Linked DNA regions of Anolis sagrei. The protein of the gene in region 1 purifies or fractionates together with the protein of each later gene. This does not show direct contact. Links are inferred from orthologs where the notes say so. Each region holds a gene or a part of one and is shown in the gene's direction. Other genes may lie near its edges.

Region 1 (7,249 bases):
ATGTGTAATGATCTACTGCCATGTGTTAAAACTCTGAGAAGCTGTGATTGACTATGGGTTTTCCAAGTCACAGTCAATCACAGAACACACACAAGTGAATATATATATATCAGATCATTATACATGATGCTCTGTCCCACAAATGAAATATTTCCTGTGCAGAAAGATGTAGCATCTCTAAGATGGCCCTTGGCATCAAAGAATTTATCTTTCTCTTGCATATAACCACACATCTCAGACAAATCGAAGTATTTTCCTAAAGACCAATCTCATCCAATCAGTTAAGGATGTTAAGAACCCATCCGCAAGGATGCCTCTACTAGGATTCTCATTTTATCCATCCAACAGAATTCCTTTCCACTGTCAACAAAACTGCCAGAACCATGCACATGGACATAAACCCCTACAAAAAGAATCTATAACCTTCCTTAAAAATGAAAAAAATATTTCCTTCATCACCATATAAAGTGTACCAAGGGTGCTACATATCAGCATAGCAAACCTTAACCACACACCAGTGAAACATCAAGCTCACCTGCCCCCAACCGAAGCTGCAAGCCTCGCAAGTGTAACTACCTGGCAAGACCAATCTGCAAAAATTCCTAGAAATAAACCTTCTCTAACAAAGCAACAAGAACTCCAAAAAGAGCGATCTGTTGGGAGTTTTTTGATTGTGCATTCCTGAACGGCAGAAGGGTTTGGAATGGATGGCCCTTGAAGACCCTTCCAACACAATGATTCTATGAAAATGTATCTACACAAATTAAACACATAGCCCGATGAGATACAAATACACATGCTAGTCTACACCCCCTCTCCAATGAAGCTGAAAGATCCAAAAGAAAAAATAAAAGAATGCAAGAATACTTTATGTTCGTATATGAGTATAGAGTTGGAAGATACTCCAAGGGCCATCCGTTCCAACCCCCTTCTGCCAGGCAGGAAATACAATCATGTCTCTTTAAGAGAGAAAAAGTGGCATATAAAAAAAGATCATCATCATCAAAGCATTCCTGACAGATGACCATCCAGCCTCTGCTTAAAATCTTTGAGAGAAGGCAATTCCAACATGTGTATGGAATTCTTGTAGTGTTGTTTTGTGGTTCTGGCGTGCATGAGGATCAGGTGCAAAAACAAGCGAAACAAGAGACTTTGGCAGGTGAAAGGCAAACATCTTCAAAACTATTGCAAGGAGGCATGGATACAAATTGTGGGAAAAGATATTCCAATTAAACATTAGGAAGAACTTCCTGGTGGAATATGGTGGTGTCTCCCTCTCTAAAGATTTTTAAGCAGAGGCTGGATAACCATCTATCAGGAGGGCTTGGATTTTGTCTTCCTGCCTGGGAGAAGGGTTTTGGACTAGATGGCATTTAGGGTCTTTTCCAACTCTAGGGTTCTATGAGGCAGGACAGCCAACTGTTGAGTGAGCTCGAATTGTGCCTGCTATGGCAGAACGGGTTTGGACTGGGTGACCTTTGAGATCTCTTCTAATGCTAGGATTCTATAATAATATTCATCATCTTTAATAATGATGATGATGGAGTCTCCTGTGTCCATCTGTTGGGAGGGTTTTGATGGTGTCTTGCTTTACGGCACAAAGTGGTTGGAATGGATGACCATTGTGGTCTCTTCCAACTAGGTTCTATATATTGATGATGATGATGATGATGGTCTCCTTCTCTGGAGGCTTTTAAATAGAAGGTGGATAGCCCATTGGGTCTGTTCCAACTCTGGAATTCTATTTTTCAGGGGGTGGATGGCCATCTGCCGGGATGGTTTCAATTGTGCCTCCCTGCCTGGCAGAATGGAGTTGGACTGATTGACTCTACAGTCTATTCCAACACTAGAATCTGATCATTCAGGGGCTGGATGGACATCTGCCAGGAGGGATTTGATTGTGTCCTCCTTTGATGGCAGATGGGAGCTGGACTGGATGGCCCTTGGCGTCTGTTCCAACTCTGGGATTCTCTGATTCAGAGGATGGCCATCTGCCGGGAGGGTTTTGATTGTGCCTCCCTGCCTGGCAGAATGGGGTTGGACTGGATGGCCCTTGGGGTTGGACTGAATGATCTGTTCCAGCTTTAGGATTCTATGATTGAGAGCAGGTATAGGCAAACTTCGGCCCTCCAGGTGTTTTGGATTCCAACTTTCACCATTCCAAATTGTGGAAGTTGAAATCCAAAACACCTAGAGGGCTGAAGTTTGCCCGTCCCCAATTGGGCAAACTGGTTGGGGTTGGATTGGTTGGCCCTATGGGTCTATTCCAACACTAAAAACTTGTTTATTTGGGGGCTGGATAAAATGTGTCCTCCTTTATGGCAGGAGGGGGCAGGACTAGAAGGCCCCTAGGGTCTACTCCAACTCTGGGATTCTATGGTTCAGAGGTTGGATGGCCATCTGCTGGGAAGGTTTTGATTGTGCCTCCCTGCTTGGCAGAATGGGGTTGGACCGGAAGGCCCTTGGGGTCTGTTCCAACTCTGGGATTCTATGACTCAGAGGTTGGATGGCCATCTGCTGGGAGGGTTTTGATTGTGCCTCCCTGCCTGGCAGAAGGGGTTGGACTGGATGGCCCTTGGGGTCTGTTCCAACTCTGGGATTCTATGATTCTGAGATTGGATGGCCATCTGCCGGGAGGGTTTCGATTGTGCCTCCCTGCCTGGTAGAATGGAGTTGGAATGATTAACCCTAAAGTCTGTTCCAATGCTAGGATCCAATCATTCTGAGGCTGGATGGACATCTGCCAGGAGGGATTTGATAGTGTCCTCCTTTGATGGCAGTTGGGGGCTGGACTGGATGGATTTTCTATTATGCAGAGGATGGCCATCTGTTGGGAGGGTTTTGATTGTGCCTCCCTGCCTGGCAGAACGGGGTTGGACTGGATGGCCCTTGGCGTCTGTTCCAACTCTGGGATTCTATGATTCAGAGGTTGGATGGCCATCTGTTGGGAGGGATTTGATTGTGCCTCCCTGCCTGGCAGAATGGGGTTGGACTGGTTGGCCCTAAGGGTCTATTCCAACACTGGAATCCTGTTTATTTGGGGGCTGGATAAAATGTGTCCTCCTTAATGGTAGGAGGGGGTAGGACTGGACGGCCCTTAGGGTCTGTTCCAACTCTGGGATTCTCTGATTCAGAGGTTGGATGGCCATCTGCCGGGAAGTTTTTGATTGTGCCTCCCTGCCTGGCAGAATGGGGTTGGACTGGATGTCCCTTGGGGTCTGTTCCAACTCTGGCATTCTCTGATTCAGAACTTGGATGGCCATCTGCTGGGAGGGTTTTGATTGTGCCTCCCCGCCTGGCAGAATGGGCTTGGACTGGCTGGCCCTACGGATCTATTCCAACACTGTTTATTTGGAGGGTGGATAAACGGTGCCTTCTTCCTTTCTGGCAGGAGGGGGCAGGGCTGGATGGCCTTTGGGGTTCCCTTTCCAGGGTGTCCACACCCCTCGCGGCCAAATCCCCGCCAGAAGGCAGCCACACACGCCCCGCGAGGGGTTCCACCCCCGGAGGAGAGGCTGGGCCTGCCTCCAGTGAGCGACTCCGGCTGTCAGGCTCCGCCAAGGCCCCGAGGCCTAGCTGTCACAGGGTCCCCGCTCTCTCCTCTCGCTCAGGCCTGGCCGACCCCCGCCTCGCCACTCACCGAACGGCAGCAGCGAGGCATCCTCCTCCTCCTCCTCCTCCGCGCCGCCTCATCCTCCAGGCCGCGAGCGGGGCCACCTGCCTGAGGCGGAGACAAGGCCCGAGCCAGGCCCGAGGCGCGGCAAACTCGGCTCCGGCGGGCCAAACAGCCCCGCGCTCTCTCTGGCTGGGCGCTGAGGGCGGCCGCAGATCCAAAATGGCGGCAACGGTGTAGTAAGCCGCGGCCGTAAGGCAGGCAAGGCAGGCAGGCGGGGAAGCCTCCTTACCTCAGCCAGCGCGCGCGCGCCTCCTGCGTCGCGTGCGCGGGACACGCTCGAGCCGCCGCCGCCGCCGCCTCGCGCACTCTCCCCGCCAACGCGCGTGCGCCAGGGAGCGCGCCTTGGCCACGCCCACCACTCTCCCCCCCCCTCTCTCTCTGCTTGGTTGTAACGACCTTCTCCTCTTTCTGTCAATCAACCGCCCCGCCGGCCAATCACATCTCCCTCCCTTTCGCGCGCGCCCTTCTGCCTGCCTTCGCCTTGACCATCACACTACCCACACACGCCTCAACCTGCCAACCAAGCTTCACAGACCCAAGCAAGTATTCAAATACGTATTTTTTTTTTGGAGGAAGGAAGTATGTCCCTTCAGGCTTTCCGTAGGTAAAGCAAGGAAAGGGATGCTTTGCTCACGCCGTCGAGCAGTAAAGATGGCGGCGCCCAGGAGAGCAAAGTTATAGCGTTCTGGAGGGAGATCTTTTGGCCAAGCAGGTAGGTGGCTCCTCATAGTACTCAGGCTATTTATTATTTATGTGTTTAGTTTACTAGCCGTCCCCTGCCACGGGTTGCTGTTGAGCTCTGTGAGTGCAACATTTTTTTCCGAATGAAGCAGAGAGTATTTGAGGACATCTGAAGGGATACCAAGATGCTTGTTTATAAAGGTTCTTGTGGGTTTTTTCGGGCTATAGGGCCATGTGCTAGAGGCATTTCTCCTGACGTTTCGCCTACATCTATGGCATCTATGGCAAGCATCCTCAGAGGTAGTGAGGTCAACAGACCTCACTACTTCTGAGGATGCTTGCCATAGATGCAGGTGAAACGTCAGGAGAAATGCCTCTAGAACATGGCCCTATAGCCCGAAAAAAACCCACAAGAACCTAGTGATTCCAGCCACGAAAGCCTTCGACAATACCTTGTTTATAAAGCTACTAGCCGTGCCCTGCCACGAGTTGCTGTGGCCCACATGGGGGTTCTGTGTGGGAGGTTTGGACCAATTCTATCGGTGGGGTTCAGGATGCTCTGTGATTGTAGGTGAACTATAAATCCCAGCAACTACAACTCCCAAATGTCAAGGTTCTATTTTCCCCAAACTCCACCAGTGTTCACATTTGGGCATATTGAGTATTCTTGTAGAGTTTGGTCCAGATCCATCATTGTTTGAGCCCACAGTGCTCTCTGGATGTAGGTGAACTACAACTCCAAAACCAAAGAACACTGCCCACCAAACCCTTCCAGTATTTCTGTTGGTCAGGGGAGAACTGTGTGCCAAGTTTGGTTCAATTCCATCGTTGGTAGGGTTCAGAATGCTCTTTGATCATGTTGTTCATTCGTTCCGACTCTTCGTGACGTCATGGACCAGCCCACGCCAGAGCTCCCTGTCGGCCGTCACCACCCCCAGCTCCTTCAAGGTCAGTCCAGTCACTTCAAGGATGCCATCCATCCATCTTGCCCTTGGTCGGCCCCTCTTCCTTTTGCCTTCCACTTTCCCCAGCATCATTGTCTTCTCTAGGCTTTGCTGTCTCCTCATGATGTGGCCAAAGTACTTCAACTTTGTCTCTAGTCTCCTTCCCTCCAGTGAGCAGCCGGGCTTTATTTCCTGGAGGATGGACTGGTTGGATCTTCTCGCAGTCCAAGGCACTCTCAGAACTTTCCTCCAACACCAGAGTTCAAAAGCATCTATCTTTCTTCGTTCAGCCTTCCCTAAGGTCCAGCTCTCACATCCGTAGGTTACTACAGGGAATACCATGGCTTTGACTAGGCGGATCTTTGATCATAGGTGAACTATAAATCCCGGCAACTACAACTCCCAAATATCAAGATTCTATTTTCCCCAAACTCCACCAGTGTTCACATTTGGGCATATTGAGTATTCTTGGAGAGTTTGGTCCAGATCCATCATTGTTTGAGTCCACAGTGCTCTCTGGATGTAGGTGAACTACAACTCCAAAACCAAAGAACACTGCCCACCAAACCCTTCCAGTATTTCTGTTGGTCAGGGGAGAACTGTGTGCCAAGTTTGGTTCAATTCCATCGTTGGTAGGGTTCAGAATGCTCTTTGATCATGTTGTTCATTCGTTCCGACTCTTCGTGACCTCATGGACCAGCCCACGCCAGAGCTCCCTGTCGGCCGTCACCACCCCCAGCTCCTTCAAGGTCAGTCCAGTCACTTCAAGGATGCCATCCATCCATCTTGCCCTTGGTCGGCCCCTCTTCCTTTTGCCTTCCACTTTCCCCAGCATCATTGTCTTCTCTAGGCTTTGCTGTCTCCTCATGATGTGGCCAAAGTACTTCAACTTTGTCTCTAGTCTCCTTCCCTCCAGTGAGCAGCCGGGCTTTATTTCCTGGAGGATGGACTGGTTGGATCTTCTCGCAGTCCAAGGCACTCTCAGAACTTTCCTCCAACACCAGAGTTCAAAAGCATCTATCTTTCTTCGTTCAGCCTTCCCTAAGGTCCAGCTCTCACATCCGTAGGTTACTACAGGGAATACCATGGCTTTGACTAGGCGGATCTTTGATCATAGGTGAACTATAAATCCCGGCAACTACAACTCCCAAATATCAAGATTCTATTTTCCCCAAACTCCACCAGTGTTCACATTTGGGCATATTGAGTATTCGTGTCGAGTTTGGTCCAGATCCATCATTGTTTGAGTCCACAGTGTTCTCTGGATGTAGGTGAATTACAACTCCAAAACCAAAGGACACTGCTCACCAAAGAGTTGGAAATGTTCAGCCTGCAGAAGAGAAGGTTGAGAGGAGACATGAGATCCAGGTTTAAATATTTGAAAGGATGTCATAAGGTTTGTTCAACAGTGAGAGATGGGATTGCTTCAGGTATGCCCACGTTGTGGAAGCATGCCCTCCCCAATTGCTGATCATTTTTAATGGTATGTCAGAGCATAGGCCTTTGAGAATTACTTTTTATACCAAATAAATGAAAATATACACAAATACCGTATATACTCAAGTATAAGCCAACCCAAATATAAGCCGAGGCACCTAATTTTACCACAAAAAACTGAGGAAGCGTATTGACTCGAGTAAAAGCTGAGGGCGGGAAATGCAACAGCTACTGGTAAATTTCAAAATAAAAATAGATTCCAATAAAATTACATTAATTGAGGCATCCGTAGGTTCAATGTTTTGGAATATTTTCATAAAACTGTAATTTAAGATAAAACTCTCCAACTACAATTAAACCATTATTCTAACCTCCTTCAATGCAAAGGATATCTAATTTGGACCATATGTCCAACTTAGATATCCTTCTAATAATAATAGAGTAGAATAACAAATGTAATAATAATAATAATAGAGTAAAATAATGGAAATGTAATAATAGTGATCCCCCC
Region 2 (7,712 bases), on another chromosome or scaffold:
AAGAAACAATCAGGGACAGCTAACACCTCCTAACGAAGGATTCCCCCCAGGCAGTAAGAAGCCAGACCTTGAAACTGCTAGGTCATTAAATGTTAATCACGTTTGCCAATTGCTACATTCTCACCTACCCCCAACAGACAGGAGTTCTTTCTCTCACCCTGGACATCATTCCATAGGTATATAAACCCCATTTTCCTAGTTTCGAACAGACCTCACAACCTCTGGGGTTTATTTGTCGTGTCAGAGCAGCCAGTCCATTATATTACATTTCTAACAGAACAAAGCAAACAAACAGAAAAATACACAACTTGTGAGTTTGGTAACTGGCTAAATGTCCTTTGACCACTATCTGGCCACTTGGAGTGCCTCTGGTGTTGCTGCAAGGAAGTCCTCCATTGTGCATGTGGCGGGGCTCAGGGTGCATTGCAGCAGGTGGTCAGTGGTTGGCTCTTCTCCGCACTCACATGCCGAGGATTCTACTTTGTAGCCCCATTTCTGAAGGTTGGCTCTGCATCTCGTGGTGCCCGAGCGCAGTCTGTTCAGCGCCTTCCAAGTCGCCCAGTCTTCTGTGTGCCCAGGGGGGAGTCTCTCATCTGGTATCAGCCATTGGTTGAGGTGCTGGGTTTGAGCCTGCCACTTTTGGACTCTTGCTTGCTGAGGTGTTCCAGCGAGTGTCTCTGTAGATCTTATAAAACTATGTCTAGATTTAAGTCGTTGACGTGCTGGCTGATACCCAAACAAGGGATGAGCTGGAGATGTCTCTGCCTTGGTCCTTTCACTATTGGCTGCCACTTCCCGGCGGATGTCAGTCAGGTGGTGCAATACCGGCTAAACAGTGTAATTTCTCCAGTGGTGTAGGGCGCAGACACCCTGTGATAATGTGGCATGTCTCATTAAGAGTCACATCCACTGTTTTAGTATGGTGAGATGTTTTCCACACTGGGCATGCATACTCAGCAGCAGAGTAACTCAGCAGCAAGGTCAGATGTCTTCACTGTGTCTGGTTGTGATCCCCAGGCTGTGCCAGTCAGCTTTTGTATGATATTGTTTCTAGTACCCACTTTTTGCTTGATGTTCAGGCAGTGCTTCTTGTAGGTCAGAGCACGGTCCAGAGTGACTCCCAGGTATTTGGGTGTGCTGCAATGCTCCAGTGGGATTCCTTCCCAGGTGATCTTCAGAGCTCAGGATGCTTCTCTGTTCTTGAGATGAAAGGCACATGTCTGTGTTTTAGATGGATTAGGGATCAGCTGGTTTTCCCTGTAATAGGCAGTAAGAGCACCTAGAGCTTCAGAGAGCTTCTGTTCAACCATCTCAAAGCTCCCTGCTTGAGCGGTGATGGCACGATCATCAGCATAGATGAAACTCTCTGTCCCTTCTGGCAGTGGCTGGTCATTTGTGTAGATGTTGAACATGGATGGAGCAAGCACGCTCCCCTGAGGCAGGCCGTTCTTCTGTTTCCGCCATCTGCTTCTCTGGTCCTGGAACTCAACAAAGAAGCTCCTGTTTGGTAGCAGGTTTCCTATGAGGCAGGTGTCTGCCATAGATGTGGGTGAAACGCCTGGAGAGAATGCTTCTGGAACATGGCCAGACAGACCGAAAAACCTACGAGAACCCAATGATTCCGGCCACGAAAGCCTTCCCAATACAGATAGATAGTAAAGGGGAGGGATTTTAAAGGCTCCTTTTCCTGGCTGCTCCGTGCCATTCCCTGTTAGTGTATTCAACCCATGTTTATGCCAATGGATATTATAGCTTATATTATGTTATTATAATTATACATTACTTTATAATTATACTATATTCATTATTCTAGACTACATTATATATTGCAAATATATTATATTTATATTATAAATACGTATATATATTAATATTATTATAAATTATTTTATTATTTTATACTATACTCATTAGAGATTATATATTATATTACATTATATTTTAATTTATATATTGTATTTATAGATCATTTTATAATTATACTACATTATAATAGATTATATACTGTCTAGATCTAGGGAAGTCATGCTCCCCATGCTCTATTCCGCTTTGGTTAGACCACACCTGGAATATTGTGTCCAATTCTGGGCACCACAATTCAAGAGAGATATTGACAAGCTGGAATGTGTCCAGAGGAGGGCGACTAAAATGATCAAAGGTCTGGAGAACAAGCCCTATGAGGAGCGGCTTAAGGAGTTTAGCCTGAGGAAGAGAAGGCTGAGAGGGGATAGGATAGCCATGTAAAATATGTGAGAGGAAGCCACAGGGAGGAGGGAGCAAGCTTGTTTTCTGCTTCCTTGGAGACTAGGACGCAAGGGAACAATGGCTTCAAACTACAAGAGAGGCGATTCCACCTGAACACGAGGAAGAAATTCCTGACTGTGAGAGCCGTTCAGCAGTGGAACTCTCTGCCCCGGAGTGTGGTGGAGGCTCCTCCTTTGGAAGCTTTTAAGCAGAGGCTGGATGGCCATCTGTCAGGGGTGATTTGAATGCAATATTCCTGCTTCTTGGCAGAATGGGGTTGGACTGGATGGCCCAGGAGGTAACTATGCTATATTCATTATTATAGATTATATTATATATTATAAATATTAATATATTAAATATGTTAATATATAAAATTATAGGTTATTATATTATATACAATATTTTCTCATTGTTTTATTATATTTTCGTTACAGATTATTATGTTATTATATATTCTCATTATACATTATTCTATGATTATTATTATATATTATTATTCTATGATTATTCTATATTATTCTTGGTTTCCCCATCTCTGGCCTTGAGAGGCTGAGCCAAGGGAAGCATGGCTTGGAAGGCCGCCTGTGGCCACGTGCTCCCCGCAGAGAAGCAGTGGCAATCCAACTTCCGCAGGCGTGGCTTCGTTGGAGCTCTCGCCCAATCAGCTGCGAGGTTCCAGGCGGAGCTTTCGACGGGCGGGGCCAAGGAGAGAGGAAGAGCCAATCGGGACAGTGGGACCTCTTGATTGGCATTGAGTGCCGCCCAATGGAATCACCCGCGGGAGGGCAGCCAAGGCCAGAGCACAGGGAGAGGAGGGATTGGCTGACTGGCAATGGGTGGCAGCCAATCGAGTGGCCGAATTAGGGATTTGATGGGCGGGATCAAGGGGCAACGTCGAGCCAATCGGGGTGGCGGGTGCCCTGATTGGCTTCACGTGCCGGCCAATAGTCGAGCGGGTGTTTGCATGGGCGGGTCCAAGGAGCGACCTAAAGCCAATCAAGGCGGGGAATTGGTATAGGTGGGTCCTATCAGGCAAAGCCAATCGAAGTGCGGGACCCCTTTGATTGGCATAAAACGACGGCCAATAGGAGTCACCGCGGGAGGGCAGCGCATGGGCGGGTGGGTCCAAGAAGGGACGTGGAGCCAATCAGAGTTGCGGACTGCTTTGATTGGCATTGCGTGGCCGCGGGAGAACAGCCCATGGCCAAGCGAGGATTTTGACAGGCGGGGCTAATGAAACCCTTGGAGCCAATCAGAGCGGCAGACCGCTTAGATTGACATTGCATGCCAACCAATAAGAGCCACCGCAAGAGGACAGCCCATGGCCGAGGGATTTTTTTGGTAGGCGGGACTAAGAAACGTCGTGAAGCCAATCGGAGTGGCGGGCCGCTTTGATTGGCATTACGTGCCGACCAATAAGAGTCACTGCGCGAGTCAAGCCCATAGCCGGGCGGGAATTTTTTGTTAGGCGGGGCCAAGGGACGTGTGGAGCTAATCCGAGCAGCGGACCGCTTTGATTGGCACTACGTGCCGGCCAATAAGAGTCAGTGCGCGAGTGAGCGGGGATTTTTTGGTAGGCGGGTCCAATGAACGTGTACAGCCAATCAGAGTAGCGGACCGCTTTGATTGGCATTAAACCCCGACCAATAGGAGTCACTGCGGGAGTAAAGCCCATAGCCGAGGGGGGATTTTTGTTAGGCGGGGCCAAGCAACGTGTAGAGCCAATGAGGATAGCGGAACGCTTTGATTGGCATTACGTGTCGACCAATAAGTCACAAGCCCATAGCCGAGCGGGGAATTTTGTTAGGCGGGACCAAGCAAAGTGTAGAGCCAATCAGAGTAGCGAGACGCTTTGATTGGCATTATATGTCGACCAATAAGAGTCACAAGCCCATAGCCGAGCGGGAAATTTGGTTAGGCGGGGCCAAGGAACGTGTGGAGCCAATCAGAGTAGCGGACCGCTTTGATTGGCATTAAGCCCCGACCAATAAGAGTCACTACGCGAGAAAAGCCCATAGCCGAGCGGGGATTTTTTGTTAGGCGGGGCCAAGGGACGCGTGGAGCCAATCAGAGCGGGGGAACCTTTTGATCGGCATGGCAAAGCGACCAATCAAAGTCCCTGCAGCCACGGAGGGTCGTGGAGCCAATCAGAGCGGGGGAGCCCCCGAAAGGGGGCGGGGAAGGGCGAGGAGCGGGCGAATGGGAAGGGCGGGCGGCTTGAGCGGCAGCGGGGCGGGCCAATGGGGCGAGGGGGAGGCGGGGGCGGGGCGTGCGGGGTGGCTAAGCCCTCGCGCGCCGCCATTGTGGGCCAGTTCGATCGGGATCGGGAGCGGAGAGCGAGCCCGGAGCCAGGGAGCAGAGACCCGCCCGCCCGCCCCTCGAGTCACCATCCGAAGGAGAAGCGGGCGAGCCGTGCCGCCATGAGCAGCGAGGCCGAGACCCAGGCGCCGCCCCCGCCGCCCTCCAACGCCTCCTCGTCTTCCTCTCCGCCCGCCGCGCCGCCCGAGCCCGCCGCCCCCGCTTCTCCCGAAGCCAAGCCCAGCGGAGGAGGCGGCGGCAACAACAATGGCAATGGCGGCGGCAATGGCGGGAATGGCAATGGCAGCAACCACCACCACGGCTCCGCAGCGCCCCCTGCCGGCGGGGACAAGAAGGTCATCGGTGAGGCACTGCGCAGGCGCGCCCCTTCCCCTCCGGCCTGCCCTGCCCCTTCCCGGGCTCCCATTGGCTCCTCTCTGCGCCCCCCGCGCCTCTGATTGGCTGGCTGCCCCTGAGCGCGTGCAGCAGCCGTTGGAGGAGGAGGAGGAGGGGGCGGCCTCGCCTCGTTTTCCCTTCGCCTCCAGCGCGCGTGCGCCAAAGCAAGGAGGCGTGGCCCAGGTGGGGGAGGGCGGGGTCTCGGGAGGGGGGAGCCGCCGGTGCGCGCGCAGCCTTTGTGTGCGTGTGCCTCCATGTGCGCGTGCGCGGGATCTGGGCAGAAGAAAGGCTTCGGGCCTACTGCTAGGCCTCACATCTCGAGCCAGCCTTTGGCCTCTCTCTCTCTCTCTGGCTCTTCCTTTCCTCCCTTATTTTCCCTTCTTTTCCTCAGACTTTCCCCCTTTCCTTTCTCTTCTCTCTTTTTTCTTCCTTCCTTCCTCACTCCCTGTCTTTTCTTTTTCTTTCCCTCTTTCATTTCTCCCCTCAGACTTTTCCCCCTTTTCATTTCTCTTCCTTTTCCCTCTCATCCTTTCCTTTCTCCATTTCTCTCTTCTTCCTTCCTTTCCCCAGACTTTCCCCCCTTTCTTCCCTTTCTCTTCCCTCCTTTTTCTTCCTTCCCTTCTCCCTCCCTTTCTCTTTTTCTTTCCTTCTTTCATTTCTCCCCTCAGACCTTTCCTCCTTTCCTTTCTCTTCCTTTTCCCTCTCATTCTTTCCTTTCTCCATTTCTCTCTTGCTTCTTCCTTCCTTTCCCCAGACTTTTACCCTTTCTTTCCTTTCTCTTTCCTCCTTTTCCCTTCAGACTTCCTCCTTTCCTTTCTTTTCCTTCCTCCCTTCTCCCTCTCATTCTTGCCTTTCTCCATTTCCCTCTTCCACCTTCCCCTCTTCTTTCTTCCTTTCCCCAGACTTCCCCCCTTTTTTTTCCTTTCTCTTCCCTCCTTTTTCTTCCTTCCTCCCTCCCTCCCCCCTTTCCTTCTCTTTTTCTTTCTCCCCTCAGACTTTCCCCCTTTCCTTTCTTTTCCTTCCACACTTCTCCCTCCCATTCTTTCCTTTCTCCATTTCCCTCTTCCACCTTCCTCTCTTCTTCCTTCCTTTCCCCAGACTTTTCCCCTTTCTTTCCTTTCTCTTCCCTCCTTTTCCCCTCAGACTTTCCTCCTTTCTTTTCCTTCCTCACTTCTCTCTCTTTCTTTCCTTTCTCCATTTCCCTCTTCCGCCTACCTCTCTTCCTTCTTCCTTCCTTTCCCCAGACTTTCTTCCCTTCTTTTTCTTCCTTCCCTTCTCCCTCCCTTCCTCTTTTTCTTTCCTTCTTTCATTTCTCCCCTCAGACTTCCTCCTTTCGTTTCTTTTCCTTCCCCCTTCTCCCTCTCATTCTTTCCTTTCTCCATTTCCCTCTTCCACCTACCTCTCTTCCTTCCTTTCCTCAGACTTTTCCCCTTTCTTTCCTTTCTCTTCCCTCCTTTTTCTTTCTTCCTTCCTCACTCCTCCCTCACTTTCTTTTTTTCTTTCCTTCTTTCATTTCTCCCCTCAGACTTTTCCTCCTTTCCTTTCTTTTCCTTCCTCACTTCTCCCTCTCATTCTTTCCTTTCTCCATTTCCCTCTTCCACCTACCTCTCTTCCTTCCTTTCCTCAGACTTTTCCCCTTTCTTTCCTTTCTCTACCCTCATTTTTCTTTCCTTCTTTCCTCACTCCTCCCTCCCTTTCTCTTTTTCTTTCCTTCTTTCATTTCTCCCCTCAGACTTTCCCCCTTTCCTTTCTCTTCCTTTTCCCTCTCATTCTTTCCTTTCTCCATTTCCCTCTTCCACCTTCCTCTCTTCTTCCTTCCTTTCCTCCTTTCTTTTCTTTCCTCCCTTCTCCCTCTCATTCTTTCCTTTCTCCATTTCCCTCTTCCACCTACCTCTCTTCCTTCCTTTCCTCAGACTTTTCCCCTTTCTTTCCTTTCTCTTCCCTCCTTTTTCTTTCTTCCTTCCTCACTCCTCCCTCACTTTCTTTTTTTCTTTCCTTCTTTCATTTCTCCCCTCAGACTTTTCCTCCTTTCCTTTCTTTTCCTTCCTCACTTCTCCCTCTCATTCTTTCCTTTCTCCATTTCCCTCTTCCGCCTTCCTCTCTTCTTCCTTACTTTCCTCAGACTTTCCCCCCTTTCTTTCCTTTCTCTTCCCTCTTTTTCCTTTCTTTCTTCCCTCCCTTATCTCGAAGCTGGGCATGGCTACTACTACTAGGCCTCACAGCTGTGCCAACCTTTGGATTTGAACAGTTTCCTGCCCTCTCTCTGTATCTATTTATTTATACAGAGATATCTCTATATCCGCTGGCCTGGGTTTAGCTTTTCTCCGTGGCACATGATTACGTTTTCTCTTCCTTCCTCACTTCTCCCTACTTTTCTTTCTCTTCCTTAGGGCCAAACTTTGTATAGTTTCCTGGCCTCCATCTATGTCTTCTGGCCTGGGTTTGGCTTTATTCTGTGGCTCTTTCTTTCCTTTCTCCTTCTTTGTTCTTTCTTCCTTTCTCTTCCCTTCTTTTTCCTCTCTTCCGCCTTGGTCCCTTCTTTCCTTTCTCTTCTTCCTTGCCTTCCTTCCCTCAGACTTTCCCCCTTTCTTTCCTTTTTCTTACTCCTCCCGCCATTCTTTCTCTTCTTTTTCTTTCCTTCTTTCAGTATGTCAAATACACAAGCATTAAAACAGCATTAAACATTTTCTTTTCACCCCTTCCTTCCCCTCATACTTTCACCCCTTTCTCTTGCTTCCTTCCTTTTTCTTCCTCCTTCACGTCTCCCTCCC

Evidence for each region. Proteins that work in one complex are often made in the same cells at the same time.
Region 2: the proteins of DAP3 (region 1) and YBX1 purify together in Homo sapiens (co-immunoprecipitation; 3 studies listed by BioGRID and IntAct, with this or other methods). This does not show direct contact. The link is inferred for Anolis sagrei from reciprocal best matches to the Homo sapiens genes DAP3 and YBX1.

What each region holds. Positions count from the first base shown.
Region 1 is NC_090032.1:8,027,673-8,034,921, forward strand, and holds the start of DAP3 (small ribosomal subunit protein mS29), read left to right. Parts: upstream 1-4,040; 5' UTR 4,041-4,215; exon of another isoform or gene 4,216-4,388; intron 4,389-7,249. UniProt on the Homo sapiens protein: As a component of the mitochondrial small ribosomal subunit, it plays a role in the translation of mitochondrial mRNAs. Involved in mediating interferon-gamma-induced cell death. Displays GTPase activity in vitro.
Region 2 is NC_090033.1:17,323,735-17,331,446, forward strand, and holds the start of YBX1 (Y-box-binding protein 1), read left to right. Parts: upstream 1-4,472; 5' UTR 4,473-4,487; coding exon 4,488-4,908; intron 4,909-7,712. UniProt on the Homo sapiens protein: DNA- and RNA-binding protein involved in various processes, such as translational repression, RNA stabilization, mRNA splicing, DNA repair and transcription regulation.